Elephas maximus indicus: one gene and its partner. The protein of the gene in region 2 purifies or fractionates together with the protein of the main gene of each other region. This does not show direct contact. Links are inferred from orthologs where the notes say so. Each region holds a gene or a part of one and is shown on either strand. Other genes may lie near its edges.

The links. The genes of interacting proteins can lie anywhere in the genome.
Region 1: the proteins of IQCB1 (region 2) and EXOC1 purify together in Homo sapiens (affinity purification with mass spectrometry; 3 studies listed by BioGRID and IntAct, counting the BioPlex papers as one, with this or other methods). This does not show direct contact. The link is inferred for Elephas maximus indicus from reciprocal best matches to the Homo sapiens genes IQCB1 and EXOC1.

The regions. Positions count from the first base shown.
Region 1 is NC_064823.1:105,279,554-105,289,608, forward strand, and holds the start of EXOC1 (exocyst complex component 1), read right to left. Parts: upstream 4,241-10,055; 5' UTR 4,151-4,240; intron 1-4,150.
Region 2 is NC_064819.1:12,351,967-12,362,041, forward strand, and holds the start of IQCB1 (IQ calmodulin-binding motif-containing protein 1), read right to left. Parts: upstream 4,684-10,075; 5' UTR 4,452-4,683; intron 1-4,451. Other genes in the region: EAF2 (ELL-associated factor 2), read left to right, coding at 4,865-4,973. UniProt on the Homo sapiens protein: Involved in ciliogenesis. The function in an early step in cilia formation depends on its association with CEP290/NPHP6.

The sequences.
Region 1 (10,055 bases), on a different chromosome or scaffold from region 2:
AATGTAACAATGTTTCTACTGGAAAATGAATCGTGAGTTTTTTAAAAATGACTTACAATGAATTTTTATAACACATTTGATACTTTTGTAACATCTTTGCTATATTTTACTCAATCTGTGAAATGTTTATCTCTGCGCTTATTACAAAAATCGCTCCTCACAAAAATCACTCATTCTTCCTCTTCCATCCCTCTTTAACCTATTTCGACCTCTTTTAACTTCCCCTTCCTCCCTGTTCTCTTAGTCTGTCTAGCCCCTTCTAGCTTAATTTCTTTTCCCACCTAGCCTGGAGGCAGTGGTCATTTCCTACACCCACACTATCCCCTTCAATTATCCTACTCTGTTGACCAGTTCGCCCTAGTTAACCCATCTCCGTAAACCATATTTTTTCTCTACTTTTATTGGGTTACCATAGGTCACTGATATTATCAAACAGTATCATTAGTATCACATGCAAGCAAAGTTTTGCTGAAGATCATTCAAAAGCAGCTGCAGCAGTATATCAACAGGGAACTGCCAGAAATTCGAGGTGGATTCAAAAGAGGACATGGAACCAGGGATATCACTGTTGATGTCAGATGGATCCTGGATGAAAGCAGAGAACACCATAAAGATGTTTACCTGTGTTTTATTGACTATGCTAAGGCATTCAACCATGTGGATCATAACAAATTATGCATAACATTGCAAAGAATGGGAATTTCAGAACACTTAATTGTGCTCATGAGGAATCTGTACATGGATCAAGAGAACAAGGGGATACTACATGGTTTAAAGTCAGGAAAGGTGTGCATCAGAGTTGTATCCTTTCACCATACCTATTCAATCTGTATGCTGGGCAAATAATCCAAGAAGCTGGACTATATGAAGAAGAACGGGGCATCAGCGTTGGAGGAAAACTCACTAACAACTGATATGCAGATTGACACAACCTTGCTTGCTGAAAGTGAAGAGGACTTGAAGCACTTACTGAAGATGAAAGACCACAGCCTTTAGTATGGATTACACCTGAACATAAAGAAAACAAAAATCCTCACAATTGGCCCAATAAGCAACACCATAATGAACGGAGAAAGGATTGAAGTTGTCAAGGATTTCATTTCACTTGAATCCACAATCAACACCTATGAAAGCAGCAGTCAAGAAATCAAAAGACACATTGCATTGGGCAAATTGTCTGCAACAGGTTTCTTTAAAGCGTTGAAGAGCAAAGATGTCACCTTTAGGACTAAGGTATGCCTGACCCAAGCCATGGTGTTTTCAATTGCTTCATACGCATAATGCTGGACAATGAATAAGGAAGACCGAAGAAAAACTGGCACCTTTGAATTGTGCTGTTGGCGAAGAATACTGAATACACCATGGGCTGCCAAAAGAACAAACAAATCTGTCTTGGAAGAAGTACAACCAGAATGCTCCTTAGAAGTAAGGATGGCGAGACCACATCTCACATACTTCAGACATGTTATCAGGACAGATCAGTCACTGGAGAAGGGCATCATGCTTGGTAAAGTAGGGGGTCAGTGAAAAAGAGGAAGACCCTCAACAAGATGGACTGACACAGTGGTTGCAACAATGGGCACAAGCATAGCAACAACAGTCAGGATAGCACAGGACCTGGCAGGGTTTCATTCTGTTGTACACAGGGTTGCCGTGAGTTGGAATCGACTCAATGGCACCTAACAACAACAATATAGGCCACTTAAGAAAGCCACATATCTGTGCTCACTGACTGCATTTTAAATATCGAAATTCATCCAAACCTGGACTTTCAATGCTGCTCGGCAATTCTTTAACACTTACACTTCCTTTAATGCTTCCTTTTCCCATCTGCCATCACTGTTGTCACAAATCTTTACTATTTCTGATTTAGACCCCAAATGGTGTGGGCCCCCTCACTCTCCACAGATGACTGTATCACTGACTTGCAGATAATATAGAGGCCATGAAGTATAATTCTCCCCAATTGCTTTTGTCTCCATCTTTCTACATCTTCACCCATCCTAACCTCTTTTTCGCCTATTACAAAATGCCCATTACTAATCCCTTAATATGTTCCAGGGCCTAAACACTTGCTCACAAGCTCTACTCCACCCTACACCACGTCGAACACTGGCCAGTTTACTTTTCTATATCTGGGCTTATGCTCATGCAATATCTTTTTCTTTTCTCCTTAGGAAATTCTAACTCCCCTCTTAAGATCATGCTAGACTATTACCACCACCACCACCCCAAAAAAATTCCTCTTCTACTTCCCTAACTCTCTACTACACTAGCACAGCACTTACCAACTGTATTTTCCAGCTAGCTACATTCTCTTCTCTTCTCCATTAAAAGTAGCTCTTTATAGGTAAGGATCATGTCATATTCGTCTCTGTATTCCTAGAACTTGGCAAAGGGCACTTAGTAAGCATTTAAGAAATACTTAAATCAACTAAAATGATAGCACTAAATAATTTAACAACTACGGCTTCCAAAAAGTTCCCTCTTTCCAACTCTCACACCTGTACGCAAATGCCCAGGTTTAAAATCTGCCCTATTTGATTCCTCTCCTCCACTCTCAACATCTGTCACCACATTTTGTTACCTCCCCCCCCCGACACACATAATTCATGCCTTCCTTTCTGTTCCCATTCTCACCACACTAAACCAGACTCACATCATCCATGATATTTAAATACTATAGCATCAGGCCATCTCTTTGCAAACTTCCATAACCCCCCAAAACTCCAATAAGCAGATAATGTTAAAACACAGCTTCATCACACCATGCCCTCATTCAAGATTTTCCTAATGCTTCTATATCCGAACCTCCTACTCCAAGTTTCAGGCTTTAAATCTTCACTTAGGTGCTTTTCCATACAGGGAATGTAATTACACTTCAGGGTTTTTATGATGTTGACTCAGTAAGGATCTTAAGTACAAATTGATCTCTACTCTCAATTTCAGTTGCACTTAATAAACAACCAAGCACTGGCTGTCTAATTGGTTCATGACATCATACGCTCCTGGATCTGGAGAACTCTTTTAAAGAAAAAATAAAAAAAAGGAGGGGGAGAGAGAGGGAGACAAACACACACTCTATCAAAGTGTTTTGAATTCATAGTAGGTACTCGACAAACACCTCTTGAGCCATCTAAATTGATTAGTAAAAACTGGTCAAATGAATGACTAATAGTGGCCAACATTTACCACATGATCCCTCTTTGGCCAAAAGCAAGGACTCAATGCATGGTAAATGGTAAAACAAGAGAGGATTGGGTATACCTCATAAAGATGTTAGACATAAATGAAAAGCACTGTGGGGCCCCTCATTCGGTCAGCAAATACTGATGCCTATGAAGGGCCAGGTATCTCTCTATTGAACGTGATAAACACGTTCATGAAGACACGAAGACGCCCCTGTCTTCGTGGCATTTACATTCTAAGAGCTAAGTAACCTACTCTCCACTTTACAATACTTTCTGGAAGGCAGTAAATAAATCATTACAGGTTCTCTAAAATTATTTTCCAGCTCTAAGAACCTGTGTCTGACTATGTTCCAGAGGCAGCCAGCCACTGCATACTCTGTGTTTTCGTTCTTGTTTCCTTAAATTCAGTTGGACCATTCCACTCTGTGGTGGGCTTGTGGTGACAGCTTGTCAGTGAGCGTCCATGTGGGTGGAGCCCCGCATGCTGTCGACACACTTTAGCGCGTGGAGTGCCGTCATGCAGTGAAGAGAACGGCATACCAAGACAGGAATGTACTTAAGAAACTTAGAAGAAAATATAGACTTAGGGAGAAAAAAAAAAAGAGAGAGCGGGGAGACACTGCCACACCCTCCTTTCCCGTCCACTCCAAAGCTCGAACAATCAAGGATAAAAATGAAATCTGGTCCCCAAAGGCGGAGCCGGAAACGGATGTGTGAAGATTGCCTTCTCTGCTCCACTTTCTCCCAGACCCCAGGCCAAGTGGGGGAAGCTCGGCCCAGACTTTGCGCCCTACACAGCGACGCCGGGAAAAGAAGGAGGGACTGTCGTCGGAGGGAGCTGTGCCCTGACCCCGGTCGCCGAACCAGCAGTGGGAAAGAGGTGCCGCCTCAGGCCCTGGCGCCCGCCCGATCGTCTGCCTGCCGCCGGGACTACGGGGCAGCCGCGACCGAAGGCTTACCGCAGGACAGTACCGAGCCCGGCTGCGCCGAGGCGGGCCCTCCAAGACCGAGACAGCACGCGGCAAGGCGGCGACCAGTACTGGAAAGCTCCCCTCAATTAAGCGGTGAACGGGAAGCAGCCGTTTCCCTACCACTTCCCATATCCGGGCACGTGACAAAGCTCCGAGCCGGAAGTCAACCCTGTAGAGGAGGAAAAAACGGAGGGAAAAAGGGAGTGGCCAATAGACGCAGGGGCGTGGCGCCACCGGTGGGGTGGGGCGCGGCGGGGCAGGGCGCGGCGGGGCGGGGCTTCGCCGGAGGAGTTGCGCCAAGGAGGGTCAGGGACCCGGCCGCTACCGCGCGCTGACTTGAAACGGCAGGCTTTGGTGCCGCCCGATGTATTACTTTTGAGAAGAATTATTTACTCAGATGTTTCAGCAATTCGTTTAAGAGGGTATCAGCTGAAGTGTTTTATTTTTTGCGTTTGTGATGCTTAAGTCTTGTTCCTGGCTACTTAAAAGCGTGGAGAGTTTAAATGAGTTAAAACTCTGGAGATGCGACCCAGATACTAGCACTTTCGATAGCTCCCAGATTATTCTAAATACACCTTTAAGGGCGAGAATCATTGCTTCGATGACTTTGCTACTCAAAGTACGGTCCGCGGACCTGCTGCATGGGTACCATTTGGGAACTTTTTAGAAAAAGCAGCCTCTTTGGCCCACTTCAAATGTACTGAATCGGAATCTTCATCTTAAGGGGATGACTCCTACGCACATTTACATTTGAGAAGCACGGGTGTTGCCAGTGTTGCTGGTGGGAAGGCAAATGATTCATTGATTCCATATCCCTGGCACCTGTTTTAAACCAGACAGGTTGATACCAGGTACAGAGGTGATTCGGACATGAATCCTGCCCTGAAGGAGTTCAGAGTATGGTAGGACAGACAAGATGTAGATATAAATAAATATAAAAAAGAGGATACAAAATAAGTGACTGAAGAGAGGTACAGGTCAGATAAGTGTGCTGGAAGTTCAAAGGAGCATGTCGTTGCAAGTTGCTGTAGAAATCCATTCATGCATGTGTTCGTTTATTTAATAATCAATCTTCGGCACTGTGTTAGGTGCTAGAGACACAAAGATAGGGATCCCACCCACAAGGGGGTCATACTATCATTGGAGAAAAACCCTTAAAAACCCGTTGCCGTTGATTCGATTCTGACTTATAGTGACCCTATCAAATAGATGCATAAATTGTACCCTAGTGAGATAAACCCAACAACAAAGGAAGAAAAAAGAGATGAAATACCGTGTGTCTTAGTTTCTTGCTGTTAGGTGATTTTGAGCTGGTTCCAATGCCTAGCGACCCCATGCACAACAGGAGGAAACAGTGCCCAGTTCTGTGACACCCTCCAATCTTTGCTATGTTTGAGACCATTGTTGCAGCCACTGTGTCAATCCATCTCATTGAAGGTCTTCCTGTTTTTTTGCAGACCTTCTGCTTTACCAAATATGATGTCTTTCTCAAGGGACTAGACCCTCCTGATAACATGTCCAAAGTACACGAGAAGAAGGCTTGCCATCCTCCTTTCTAAGGAGCATTCTGGCTGTACTTCTAAGACAGATTTTGTTCATTCTTCTGGCAGTTCATGGTATATTCAGTATTCTTCACTAATGCCATAATTCAAAGGCATCAATTTTTCTCCCGTCTTCCACATGAGGCAATTGAAAATACCATGGCTTGGGTCAGGTGCACCTTAGTCCTCAAAGTGACATCTTTGCTTTATAGCACTTTAAAGAAATCTTTTACAGCAGATTTGCCCAATGCAATGCATTGTTTGATTTCTTGACTGCTGCTTCCATGGGCATTGATTGTGGATCCAAGTAAAATGAAATCCTTGCCAGCTTCAATCTTTTCTGCATTTATCTTGATGTTGCTTATTGGTTCAGTTGTGAAAATTTTTGTTTTATGTTGAGGTGTAATCCATGCTGAAGGCTGTGGTCTTTGATCTTCACCAGTAAGTGCTTCAGTTTTCCTCACTTTCAGCAAACAAGGTTGTGTCATCTGCATATTGCAGGTTGTTAATGAGTCTTCCTCCAATCCTGATGCCAAGTTCTTCATATAGTCCAGTTTCTCAGATTATTTGCCCAGCATACAGATTAAATAGTATGGTGAAAGGATACAACCCTGATACACAGTTTTCCTGGCTTTAAACCACACTCTATCCCCTTGTTCTGTTGGAATGACTGCCTCTTGGTCTATGTACAGGTTGCTCATGAGCACAATTAAGTGTTCTGGAATTAGGGTTTATAACACAATTTTGGGGGACACGATTCAATTCATAACATTGTAGATATGCAAAAGAGGTAGTAATTCATTCTGCCAGGGACGGATTCACTGAGAAAGTGACAAATCAGCTGTGCAAAATGTCTTTCATTATTTATCCGAAGATACTATTTGGTGGGAAAAACCACAGAAATTGTAGAGATCCGTTTGTTATTGAAAATAATATGGTCTAATCAATGCTGCTTGGAATCTTTTCACTTTCATGGAATGACTTCCGTTTCAAGAGTGTGATCTCTATCGAGTCCTTTCTGTATAAAAACGCCTCTGTCCCTGCTTAGTCAATCTCCAAACACTTACTGTGGACACTCTTTATGTGACAATTGCATGTGTTACTTCGTTCTATTTTCTATCTTTTGTTTACCTGTATGGTTACAGCCCTCTCAAAGCAGGGAAATGAATTGTATTTCACATTTATTTATGTAGTCTGAACTTCTTTCCTGAATTCCGGATTTGTATATCCAACTGCCCCCCTGACATTTCCATTTAGATATCCAGTAAGTGCCTCAGGCTCACTGCATACCTGGGTGGTACAAGTGGCTTGCAATCAGCTGCTAACCTAAGGGTTGCACCTGAGAAGAAAGGCCTGGTGATCTGCTTCTGTAAAGATTACAGCCAAGAAGACCCTGTGGAACAGTTCTCTTGTGTAACACATGGGGTCACCATGAGTTGGAATTGACTTGACAGCAATGAGTTTGTTTTTTTGGACTAATAAAATCTGACACTTAATGTGTACAAAAATGAAAGCCTTGTATCTCCTCTTCCTCCAAAAGTAGAGGCCAAAACAAGAACTTATGTGTTAGTAGTTTATTTGGGGGTATGAACCCAGAGAGCACGAATGAGGGAAGGAGGAGGGTACGTGAAACAAGAATGAGTAAAGTCAACATAAGGATGTGTTATTGAGTTGGCTAACAGCATGTTGGAATGTTTTCTTGATCCTGTATGACCTTCTATGAAGTCTTGTGAAATGAGTCTCTGAACTGTCCAAATGGGGGAAAAAATAGAAGAAGGTTTTACCTGTTGGCTCTGGTACTCCTTTATCAAAGGATAATGCTCCTGGTCATCAACTACACCACACTTCCAAAATGCACAATTGTGAATGTCACACTGGCTTCCACATCAGAGAAGTCCTAGGGCAGGAAGCGAGAGGAGAGGTGCTGTCACGTTACACTTGCTGAAAGCTCATCAAACCTTGCTCAGAACAGGTAGCTGGAGCAGTGGTTGAAATAAGAGACTGAAGAGATTTGAAGTAGTGCACAGAGGGTGTCCATTTCAGGCCATTTCTTACACCATTCAGATCTGCTTGTGCCCTCCATTAAGTCTATTCTCTCACAGAGGCTACTTCAGAGTGGTGGCCAGCCACGATTCCTGCAAGGACTTAATACAAGAGAGTTAATACAGGCTTCAGTCCCTGCTGCTATGCTGATGCCAAGGGCAGATGTACATTTTTTAACTCTCTCCTCCTCTATCCATCCTAACTTCCCCTCACCCTTGGCCAGCATATCAACTAATCTAGGTTGCTTCCCTGGTGAGGTAATCCAGACCTTTATCTTTATTTTCCTTACTCTGGTTGGGCCATGGTTGCTGCAGTTGCCTTCAACTTATCCTTGAGTACAAAACACCAAGATAAGCCCCAGTGAATTTCTTGGATACCAGATACGGTACTGTCTACTGTTACTGTGTAGCAAAAATCCTAGGCTCCTTTTGCTGATCTCAGTTGATTACTCCCATCATTATAGTAATTCCTTTCTTTGCTAGCTAGTTTACCACCAAAAAAAGCCCAAAGTAACCATGTGTTAGTGAGAATTTCAAGTTCAGGGAAATCCATATTGTGTATCATGGTAGAAGCATTCCCTATACTATCCCTGAGGAACCAGTTATTCTGATTTAGTAAAGCCCAAATTTGAGAGGCCGGAAACAAATTCTATGAGTGGGTCACTTGACGGTGATGGTAAGATGGGCCAATTCTGCTTCCACCTCTGGGTTTCTGGAGCCATGTCTTCTAGCTGTTGAGGGCACTCTTTATTGGCTGGTTCAGTACATTTACCACATCCTGTAAGACAACACTCCATTTCTACAGGGTGTTGTCCTAAGCAGGCAGGCACATTAGCTAAGCCAGTAACAGACCATCCCACCATTTTATAAGGCTGGATACTTCTGGGTGATGAGGGATATGGCAGTTTCTATGGATTCCATGATCATGTATATATTGTCATACTTTTTTATTTTTCCCTGAAAATGGGTTCCTTAGTTGAGATAAAATAAGTTCCTATGTGGTACAAATGGCTAAGTGCTATCCTATTAGCTGAAAGGCTGGCAGTTTGAACCTACCCAGACGCTCAGAGACAGGCCTGGTCATCTGCTTCCAAAATATCACAGCCTTGGAAACCCAGAGAGCACAGTCCTACTCTGCACACTTGGTGTCAACATGGGTTGGAATGAACTTGATACAACAATATCAACAGTGAGATAATGTTGATCAGGAATGCTATAATTCCTGTAATTGTGAATGTTGGCAGATGCACTGCAGTCAAGAAAGGCAAACCCAGGAGTCGGTAAATATTTTTACCTCAGACCACCTCACCCTCTACATAAAATGAACAACGAAATGCACTGCTTTCAGTTGTACCAACTGGGAAGATTATCCTTCATTATTGTTCTTTAGAGCTGGGCCTGAGTGGGGCTATAGTGTGGCAGCAGTCCAGTTTTAGCTACCAACCAACGTAATGTGCCAACCTGTTGTCAACATGGCTTAATTTTTTTTCCCATTCTCTAATAGATGGTTATAAGGAACTCCCAAGGAGCCATAGGAGTTAGTTGAGGAAGGGATGCCCATGCTATAGAAATAAGTGCCGTGTGAGTCTGAGCCACCCATTTATGTCATTTACTTGTGTTTTCTGAACATGCTTAGGCTCCATGCTATACCATTTCCCTACTTCAAGAGATCACTGCTGGGCCCATGGACTTATGACTTGTGGATCTGATCATATCTAGCTCATGATAGATAGATAGCTCTGGTCTTCCTAATGGAGAATAGTTCTCTGCCTCAGAAGGCCTGGCCTTGTGGAACACTAGGGATCTGTGCTAAAACACCCTTACTGTGGCTTTCCAAGGATTTTACAAACACTTTTATCCACCACAGATTTCTTTAGCACCATCAGATCTATTGGGACAAATGGTCTGAACACTACAGCAACTTGCACCACAGCCTGGTTCTACTGTAGAGCACTCTCTTTCTCTAGGCCACACTCAAAACTGGTACCTGTTACACAGGTGAGAGCAATATTCCCAGGCATGATATATGCTACTGCCAAAACCCAAAGAGGCCCACTAAGTTCTGTGCCTCTTTCTTAGTGGTAGTAGGTACTAGGTACATAGTATGTACTATGTCCATTACCTTAAAGAGGATGCCCCCTAAGAGTTCCATTGATGTGCAGACCCTGAATCTTCATGACGTTTATTTCCCACCCTTTGGCATCTAGAGTATTTGCCATTTTCTGCTCACTGGGTCCAGTTAGTATGACATCATCAGTGGAATAGCCTACCATGATATTCTGAGGAAATGTCAAAACAATTAAGGTCCCT
Region 2 (10,075 bases):
AACCCATTGCTGTCAAGTCGATTCTGACTCATAGCAACCCTAAAGCCACAGCATCCAGAATTCATCTTTTATTAGATAAAATATAAACTAAAAATAATTTTATAGAAAGTCTGACACATAGTAGGCACACAACTTGCCAAAAGAGTGCATAGTTACCTCATTCTTTCCAATAGCTGCGTTATGCTAGGCTTCCTTTGTAAGCGTTTATCAAAATAATTTTATAGAAGAATCATAACCCAAATGGGGAAAACATAAAACAGAATTTCAAATTCTCATGGAATGCAGACTTTCTGGAGCTACAGAGGTTGGATGAACTACCAAAATACCGCCCAGAGATAATCTTTAAACCTTAAACCAAAAATATCCCCTTAAGTCTTCCTAAAACCAAACAGTCTAGCTTAACTAGTAAAAAAAAAATGTCTCCTTGAGCATTGTGCTCTTTTTAAGAACTATCTACATAGGATCAAAGCGACAACAGCAACTCAAAAGATTAGACTGTAGCCTTAGGGGGCAGTGAGTTTATGTTAATGGAGGAGGAACAACTCAGAAAAGGAGTGAAAATGGTTATACAACTCGAAGACTGTAACAAGTGTCACTGAATTGTATACAAAGAAACTGCTGAATTGGTGTACGTGTATATTCTCAACAACAAAGAGTATATCAAAATATATTTAAACATCTCCTCTATTGATAATCATTCCAGTTGTAGGATATTACAAGCAATGATGCAGTGAATATCAGTGTATGTGTGTTTATGTACTCATGCTAGTATTTTTGTAGAATGAATTCCTTGAAGTTGGATGGCTGGATTACAGGGTATACATAGTTTACATCTTGATTAGACAATGCCAGGTTTTTCTACAAAATGTTTTTCTGATTTGTATTCCCGCCATGAAGCATGAGGCTGTTCATTTCCTTAGTCCTTTACTAACATGTTATCTTTCACATTTTTGCTAATCTGTAAGATGAAAATTGGTATCATGCTATTTTAATTTGTATTTATTAGGGAAGTCAGGCATATTTTCATGTTCACTGGCCATTTCTTCTTCTATATATTTCTACTCACATCCTTTGACCATTTTTCTACTAGTTTGTTTGCCTTATTCTTTTGTAGAAGCTTTTCATACATGGATATGAACTCTCTCTACCTTTATGCTGACTGTAAACAGTTTCTCCTTGTCTGCCATTACATTTGATTACGGTGTCTTTATCATAAGCTTAAAATTTTTTATGTAGAAAATATAACAGTATTTTCCTCTATGGCTTCTATTTTTTGTGTCTTTTTTAGAAAGGCCCTTCCTACCCAAAGATCTAAAAAGTACTAGAAAGTCAAATGCACATACCTACATTAAATTTCTAAGGTAATTAGCCAAGAAAAGACATAAAAGTAGCAATCTGAAATGCTGTTTTTGTCATATGCTAAGTTATCATAAATATATTTGGGTATACTTTTTGAATTCTAGTCAGTTCCATTAATTTATTTGCTTATTACTGGACTAATACAACATATAAAAAATTTGTTTTAACATATATTTGGGGGAAATTTGCACTAGAATGTAAGCTTCATGAGGGCCAAACCAAGACTAGCCTTGTACAGGTCTTACTCTTTGGTTCACTGCTGTATTCTCAGTTGCTAGAGTAGTACCTGGCATGTGGTAGGTACTTAATGAATGTATGTTGAAAGAATGAATAAAGGCATGAACCTTGTATATTCCAAGACTCAATTTCCTGACCCTCTGCTTTTTTCCCTGTTACAGTATGGGAACCTCCAATTTCTGACAGGAAGTCATTTCGAAAGAATAAGATGGGCTTCAAACATAGCTCCTGCCCTCCTGGCTAACATAGTAAAACGTAACTGAAACATGATCATCACCAAACATCTGTGTGTAGGGCGCTATGTTAGATGCAATGGTCACAATGATTAATGATGTTCTAGTTGGGAAAGAAAAGGCATTTAACTATCTATAAAATACAATATCTTAAGCACCAAATAGATAACACAGATGATAAGATAATAAAGTCAGAGGACTGGTCTTCCCTGAACCAGTTTTTTAGACTTATAAACAAAGTAGCAATTCCCATCTCCTAGAATAATTAAGGAGCCCTGGTGGCACACTGGTTAAGAGCTCGGCTGCTAGGCTGCTAACCAAAAGGTCAGCAGTTTGTACCTACCAGCCATGCCTTAGAAACCCTATGGGGCAGCTCTCTAGGATCGCTATGAGTCAGAATCAACTTAACAGCGACAGGTTTTTTTTTTTTTTTTTTAAGAATAATTAATATACAGAAGAGAAGAGAGCCACCAAGGACGGCCCTCAAATGTTCTGACGGTAGAGCTAGACATTAAAAACTACTTGGAGAGCTCTTATTATTTGCCATTCATTTTTCTAAAAGTTTTCATATATTAACTAACTTAATCCTCTCAACAATTTTTAAGAGATAAACAAACAAACAAACAGCCACTGCCATCAAGTTGAATTCCGACTCGTAGGGACCCTATAGGACAGAGTAGAACTGCCTTACAGAGTTTCCGAGACTGTAATCTCTACGGAAGCAGACTGCCATATCTTTCTCCCATGGAGCAGCTAGTGGGTTTGAACCACGGACCTTTCAGTTAGCAGCTGAGCGCTTAACCACTGCGCCATGAAGGCACCTATTCTAAGAGATATTATTTTTTCCCTGATTTTAACAATAAGCAGCCTTAACTTTGGAGAGTTAATTAGTTTGCACAAAATCACAATGCTAGGTATGAAGCCAGAGTTCAAACTCAGAAATTCTGGCTCCAGAACCTGAGCACTCAGGTACAGTCTTAAAACCAAGAAAAACAAAACCCATTAGCCGTGTGTTGATTCTGACTAGTAGCAACCCTACAGGACAGGGTGGAACTGCCCCATAGGGTTTCCAAGGAGCACCTGGTGGATTCGAACTGCCGAGCTTTTGGCTCGAGGCCATACCTCTTAACCACTATGCCACCAGGGTTTCCTCTTAACCACTCGTAGGCCTTACAAGTGTAGAAATTTAGACAAGCAGATAGGCTGAAGGAGACATTCATCTATTCATCTAGAACAATAAATCAGGGCTTCAAATTGTTGGAAGCCCTGATGATTTGCATTTCTAACAAGTTCCCAGGCAATGCTAATGCTGCTGGTTAAGGACCAATTTTGAGAACTACTAGTAGAACAGTGGTTCTCAAAATTTATTATACACCTGGGGATCTTGTTCAACTGTAGAGTGTGAGTCAGTATATCTGGGGTGAAGCCCTGGTGGCACAGTGGTTAAGTGCTCTGCTGCTAACCAAAAGATCAGCAGTTTGAATCCACCAGCCGTTCCTTGGAAACCCTATGGGGCGGTTCTACTCCATACTATAGGGTCACTATGAGTGGAAATCCACTCAACAGCAATGGGTTTGGTGGTTTGGTATATCTGGGGTGGAAATGGAGCCCTGGTGGCACAGTGGTTAGGAGCTACAGCTCCTAACCAAAGAATAGGCAGTCTGAATCCATCAGCCTTTCCTTGGAAACCCTATGGAGCAGTTCTACTCTCCTATAGGGTCGCTAGGAGTCAGAATCAACTGGACAGCAAGAGGTTAGGGATGGAAATGCATTTTATCAGCAGGGGTCCAAACCAGAAGGAACCAGTTGGAAGCCCTGCAATAAACTGGCCAATTTGGCTGTGGTGGAAGTAAGGGAGTTCACTTTACATAACTACAATGAAGAATGATCAGCGGTTCCCTATGAGTCGGAATCGACTGGATGGCAGCGGGCTGGGTTTGGTTTGGTTTTGGGAACCATTTGTAAAGTTTCTTTTGGGTGCTTTTCAATTTGGCTCCAAAGCAACACTTCTCCCATCTTTACCGTTAAATTAATAAGCTCTGACAGAAAAAAAACATTGTGGCAATTATTTATTAATTTACGGATGCTATTTTTTTATTACCCTGTTGCCAGACTACCAGCTCCAGCCCCACTCTCGATCCTATAGGAGTCACGTATTTTTATCCCTATAGGATGCCTGTTACTGCATCCACGGATCACTGTGAAGTAAACGAAAGAAGGCAAGTGATCCCAAACGTCTACAGTTACCGTCTCTGAATCCTCTTTCTTCCCTCCGTCCACTTCTCCTCTCCCAGGCCTAACTCCACCAGGCACTTCCTCAGGAACACAGAGGTCCGAGAAGGGCTGCTCAGGTAACGGCGTCGTCTGCCCTCAGGTTCAAGGACCGAGGCTCTGGGGTCCGCGGGCTCATTTACTCAGGGTTCCAGTCCCGCCTTTGGCGCGCCCAGACCTTGGGCAAGACACCAGGCCTTGTGCCCAGATACAGCCCCATCCCGGACCTCAGTTTCCACACAACCGGTTTCCGTCGAGTCCACACAAGTAAGTACTCGGTAAAAGGCCCTTTTAACATTGAGCAAAAAGGGCTGAAGCAGGCCGAGCCTCCGGTTAAGAGCGCCGACATACCTGGTTACTTGCCCCAGGAGCCTGGCTTCCGGGCCTCCCGGTATCCAGGGGTCCTCTCCCCGCCCCCGGGCCAGCCCCGGGCCAGCCAGTCCGTTACCTCAACTTCGCTTCGGGTTCCTCCAGCCCGGCCTTCTCCCACCGCTCGCCTCAGAGGCGCGGCCTTCCCGGGCCAGCGTGCGTCGCAACGCGGGATGGGCTCTGGAGGCGGGACCAGACGCCTCCGAGCCAGGGGGCGGGGCGCCCTTCGCCAGGCAGCCAATCAGCGCGCGAGCGCGCCCGCTGGGGCCGCGCGCGTCGGGCGGAAGGCGGGGCCTGCCGTGGCTGCGCTCGCAGCTGCCGCTGGAGCTACTTGAGGCTGAGGTGGCAGATGGTAGCGAGCCCGGCGGCGGCGGCAAAGTCGCAGGCAGAGGATAATGATGAATGGAGCGGCGGGACACTTGCACCTCGGCAGTCGCGAGCGAGTTCTCAAGTTGGGCGAGACTTTCGAGAAGCAACCGCGCTGCGCCTTCCACACTGTGCGCTGTGAGTGGGTATGACCCGCGGGAAAAAGGAGCCTCCGGGATGGGGGTGTGGGCGCAGAACCCCTCCGAGTTCTGGTCCCACCGTCCCCTGAATCTGCTGGACAGTGGGGGACCCAGCTGCCCTGCCTGGACTCCAGGGGGGCCGGAAGAAGGAGCTGGAGTCCAGCAGGTGTGCATAAACCCACGGAAGAATTTGAGACCAACAGGCAGGAAAGTGAAACTTTGTGGAGAAGGGCTGCGGAGGGGACTGTGAGACGTGACGGGTGGCTGAGGCAGAGGTGGCAAGGCAGATAATAACGTGACAGTTAACAGGGTGGCAAAGAACCGAGCTCTTCTCCATTGTGCCTGGGGAAGGGACTTCCTTGAGGCTGGTGGAGAAATCATCTCTTTTTCTCGCCTCTGGCTGGTCAGGGTCCTTATTTAGTGTGTTCCTGGGAAGAGGTTCTGAACCATCCCAATAATCTGTATTTCCTTGGGACTTCTGATTTCAGTCAGTTATCAAATATTATCAAACTATTGGACAGTGTGTTATTACATTCTTTATTCGGAAGGTATTTACCTCCCTGTGACTTCTACCTTTTGGTTTTCCTGTGTCTTTTGCAACTAGTTTTTAGTCGTTCGCTTTTATGTTGTTGAGGTTGAAAAGGGAACTCCTGCTTTAGTATTTGACTGATGTAGATTAGAGGAAGGAATGTTGCGTATTATGATTTTGTATGTAAAATTTCATTTTTTTGCATAATAACCCTCAGAATTAATTCTAGAGCTGGAAGGAAACTTTGAGATCATTAAATCGTGACCGATCATTTTTCTGTGGCAAATTGCAAAGTAGGTATTTTTTTCACTTCCTTTATTCACCTTTGCCCAGCTTCTAAGTCATTCTGCCCTGGCTCGTCTAGAGACCTTTATGGTTTTCGCTTTGAACTGGTCTGTGTTTCAGCCAAAACTCCTAACAAAAATTTACATTCTCCAAAAATTTACTTACATTGTGACTGTAGGAACTTATTTTTATTTAAGCAAAATATTCTTATTAAAGGTTTTTTTAAGAAAAATTATTTTGCTGTGTATAGTCTCAGTAACAACAACAAAATAAATAAAATTTAAAAGAAAAATTAACATCCAATTGGTAGAATAAGCGGGGGAGATGTTCATGAACAGAAGATCTTCAACGGTGCCGTCGTTTATTCTTCTTTACCTTACTCTCTGGTCCAAAGCTTCTCGCAATGAAACAGCGGGTAGTGCTGACTGCAGTTCCTCTGCCTCTTTAATCTCATTTTCCAAAAGTATGATATGGTTCTTACCTGGTTTCTCCATGTCTTTCTTTCAAGCAGTGTCTCCCCTCTCCTTTTCTCTTTCTTCTCAGGTATGTTGTAGTCTTTATACACTATAGGCTGTTGTCCATAGTATTAATTTTTCAAATTACTAAGTTTAAGATTATAAAAATTTGCTCAAGAATATTTGTTCCCATAACTTGGGTATATACTCTCTTTTTAAGGACATGAATCACAAATATAAGTAAATAAAAAATAATCTTTGAAAAGCACCGTTGCAAGTGCTCTAAAGCCTTTCATTTATAAAGGTTCACAAAATGCTGGAATTCTGCCTTCAGTGTAAGAGAATAAGTGAAATAGGTCAATGATCCAGCTGCAGGAATGAAAATAAAACAGCAACAATAGCACCCACAAAAAAAAAAAAACCCAGATATTTGAGTATCAGCTTAGTCCAGTAGAAGCCATTAGAACGGTTTTCAGCCCTCATTTTTTTCTTATTGTTGAAGTAGGCATAGCAATTGCACATAATCTTTTTGTAGTTGTTGTTAGGTGCAGCCGAGTCCGTTCCAACTCATAGTGACAGTGACCCTGTTCGCAACAGAACAAAACACTGCCCGGTCCTTCCAAGACAGATTTGTTCGTTCTTTTGGCAGTCAGTGATATATTCAATATTTTACGTCAATGCCACAATTCAAAGGCATCAATTCTTCTATGGCCTTCTTTATTCATTGTCCAGCTTTCAGATGCGTATGAGGTGATTGAAAATACCATGGCTTGGGTCAGGCACACCTTAGTCTTCAAGGTGACATCTTTGTTCTTCAACACTTTAAAGAGGTCCTTTGCAGCAGATTTACCCAATGCAATGCATCTTTTGATTTCTTGACTGCTGCTTCTATGGCTGTTGATTGTAGATCCAAGTAACGTGAAATCCTTGACAACTTCAGTCTTTTCTCTGCTTATCATGATACTGCTTATTGGTCCAGTTGTGAGGATTTTTGTTTTCTTTATGTTGAGGTGCAATCCATACTGAAGGCTGTGGTCTCTGATCTTCATTAGTAAGTGCTTCAAGTCCTCTTCACTTTCAGCAAGGAAGGTTGTGTCATCTGCATAACACAGGTTGTTAATGAGTCTTCTTCCAATCCTGATGCCCCGTTCTTCATACAGTCCAGTTTCTCAGATTATTTGCTCAGCATACAGATTGAATAGGTTTGGTGAAAGGATACAACCCTGACACACACCTTTGCTGACTTTAAACCAAACAATATCCCCTTGTTCTGACTGAACGACAGCCTCTTGATCTATGTAAAGGTTCCTAATGAGCACAATTAAGTGTTCAGGAATTCCCGTTCTCCGCAATATTATCCATAATTTGATATGATCTACACAGTCGAATGCCTTTGCATGGTCAATAAAATACAGGTAAACATCTTTCTGGTATTCTCTGCTTTCAGCCAGGACCCATCTGACATCAGCAACGATATCCCTGGTTCCATGTCCTCTTCTGAAACTGGCCTGAATTTCTGGCAGTTCCCTGTTGATATATTGCTGCAGCCATTTTTGAATGATCTTCAGCAAAATTTTGCTTGCGTGCGATATTAATGATATTGTTCTGTAATTTCCACATTCAGTTGGATCATCTTTCTTGGGAATAGGCATAAATATGGATCTCTTCTACTCGGTTGGCCAGGAAGCTGTCTTCCATATTTCTTGGCATAGACGAGTGAGTACCTCCAGCACTGCATCTGTTTGTTGAAACATCTCAGTTGATATTCCGTCAATTCCTGGAGCTTTGTTTTTCGCCAATGCCTTCAGACAGCTTGTACTTCTTCCTTTAGTACCATCGATTCCTGGTCATATGCTACCTCTTGAAATGGCTGAACCTCAAATAATTCTTTCTGGTATAATGACCTTGTGTATTCCTTCCATCTTTTGATGCTTTCTGTGTCATTTAATATTTTCCCCATAGAATCCTTCACTATTGTAACTTAAGACTTGAATTTTTTCCTCAGTTCTTTCAGTTTGAGAAATGCCAAGTGTGTTCTTCCCTTTTGGTTTTCTGTCTCCAGCTGTTTGCACATGTCGTCACAATAGTTTGTCTTCTCGCGCTGCCCTTTGAAATCTTGAGTTCTTTTCCTTGATCGTTTCTTCCTTTTGCTTTAGCTGCTCGACACTTGTGAGCAAGTTTCAGAGTCTCCTCTGCCATCCATTTTGGTCTTTTCTTTCATTCCTGTCTTTTCAGTGACCTCTTGCTTTCTTCATGTATGATGTCCTTGATGTCATTCCACAACTCGTCTGGTCTTCAGTCACTAGTGTTCAATGCATCAAATCTATTCTTGAGATGGTCTCTAAATTTGGGGGGGATATACTCAAGGTCATATTTTGGGTCTCGTGGACTTGCTCTGATTTTCTTCAGTTTCAGCTTGAACTTGCATATGAGCAATTGATGGTCGGTTCCACAGTCGGCCCCTGGCCTTGTTCTGACTGATGACATTGAGCTTTTCCATTGTCTCTTTCCACAGATATAGTCAATTTGATTCCTGTGTGTTCCATCTGGCAAAGTCCATGTGTATAGCTTCCATTGCTGTTGGTGAAAGAAGGTATTTGCCATGAAGAAGTTGTTGGTCTTGCAGAATTCTATCATTGGATCTCCAGCATTGTTTCTGTCACCAAGGCCATATTTTCCAATTACCAATGCTTCTTCTTTGTTTCTAACTTCCACATTCCAATCACCAGTAATTATCAATGCATCCTGCTTGCACGTTCAATCAATTTCAGACTGCAGAAGCTGATAAAAATCTTCAATTTCTTCATCTTTGGTCTTAGTGGTTGGTGTGTAAATTTGAGTAATAGTCGTACTAACTGGTCTTCCTTGTAGGCGTATGGATATTATCCTGTTACTGACAGTGTTGTGACAGCGTTGTACTTCAGGATAGGTCTTGAAATGTTCTTTTTGATGATGAAAGCAATGCCATTCCTTTTTGAGTTGTCATTCCCAGCATAGTAGACTATATGATCGTCTGATTCACAATGGCCAATACCAGCCCATTTCTGCTCATTAATGCCTAGGATATCGATGTTTATGCGTTCCATTTCGTTTTTGACAATTTCCGATTTTCCTAGATTCATACTTTGTACATTCCAGGTTCCGATTACTAATGGATGTTTGCAGCTGTTTCTTCTCATTTTGAGTCATGCCACATCAACAAATGAAGGTCCCGAAAGCTTTACTCCATCCACGTCATTAAGGTCGACTCTACTTTGAGGAGGCAGCTCTTCCCCAGTCACCTTTTGAGTGCCTTCCAACCTGGGGGGCTCATCTTCCAGCACTATATCAGACAGTGTTCCGCTGCTATTCATAAGGTTTTCCCTGGCTAATTCTTTTCAGAAGTAGACTGTTGGGTCCTTCTTCCTAATCTGTCTTGGTCTGGAAGCTCAGCTGAAACCTGTCCTCCATGGGCGACCCTGCTGGTATCTGAATACCGGTGGCATAGCTTCTAGCATCACAGCAACACACAAGCCCCCACAGTATGACAAACTGACAGACACGTGGGAGGACCAAAATTCTAAGAAATATTAAAGGGAAGTCTCCAGTTAGAAAACCAAGAACATCAGACAACAATCCAAAACTAGGATGCAAGACAGAGCAACCAGATACCAACCCAGATAGGGAATTCTCAAAAACAAGTCAAAGCTAAAAGATTAAAAATAGGAAACCAGAGATGTCAATATGTAAATAACAACAACATGAAAACAAAAAAGAGGGAATAAACAGTGTAGCCATAGAACTTCCATAGGGCGAGGAAGTTAAGGCAATATCAAGAAATAAAAGACTGGT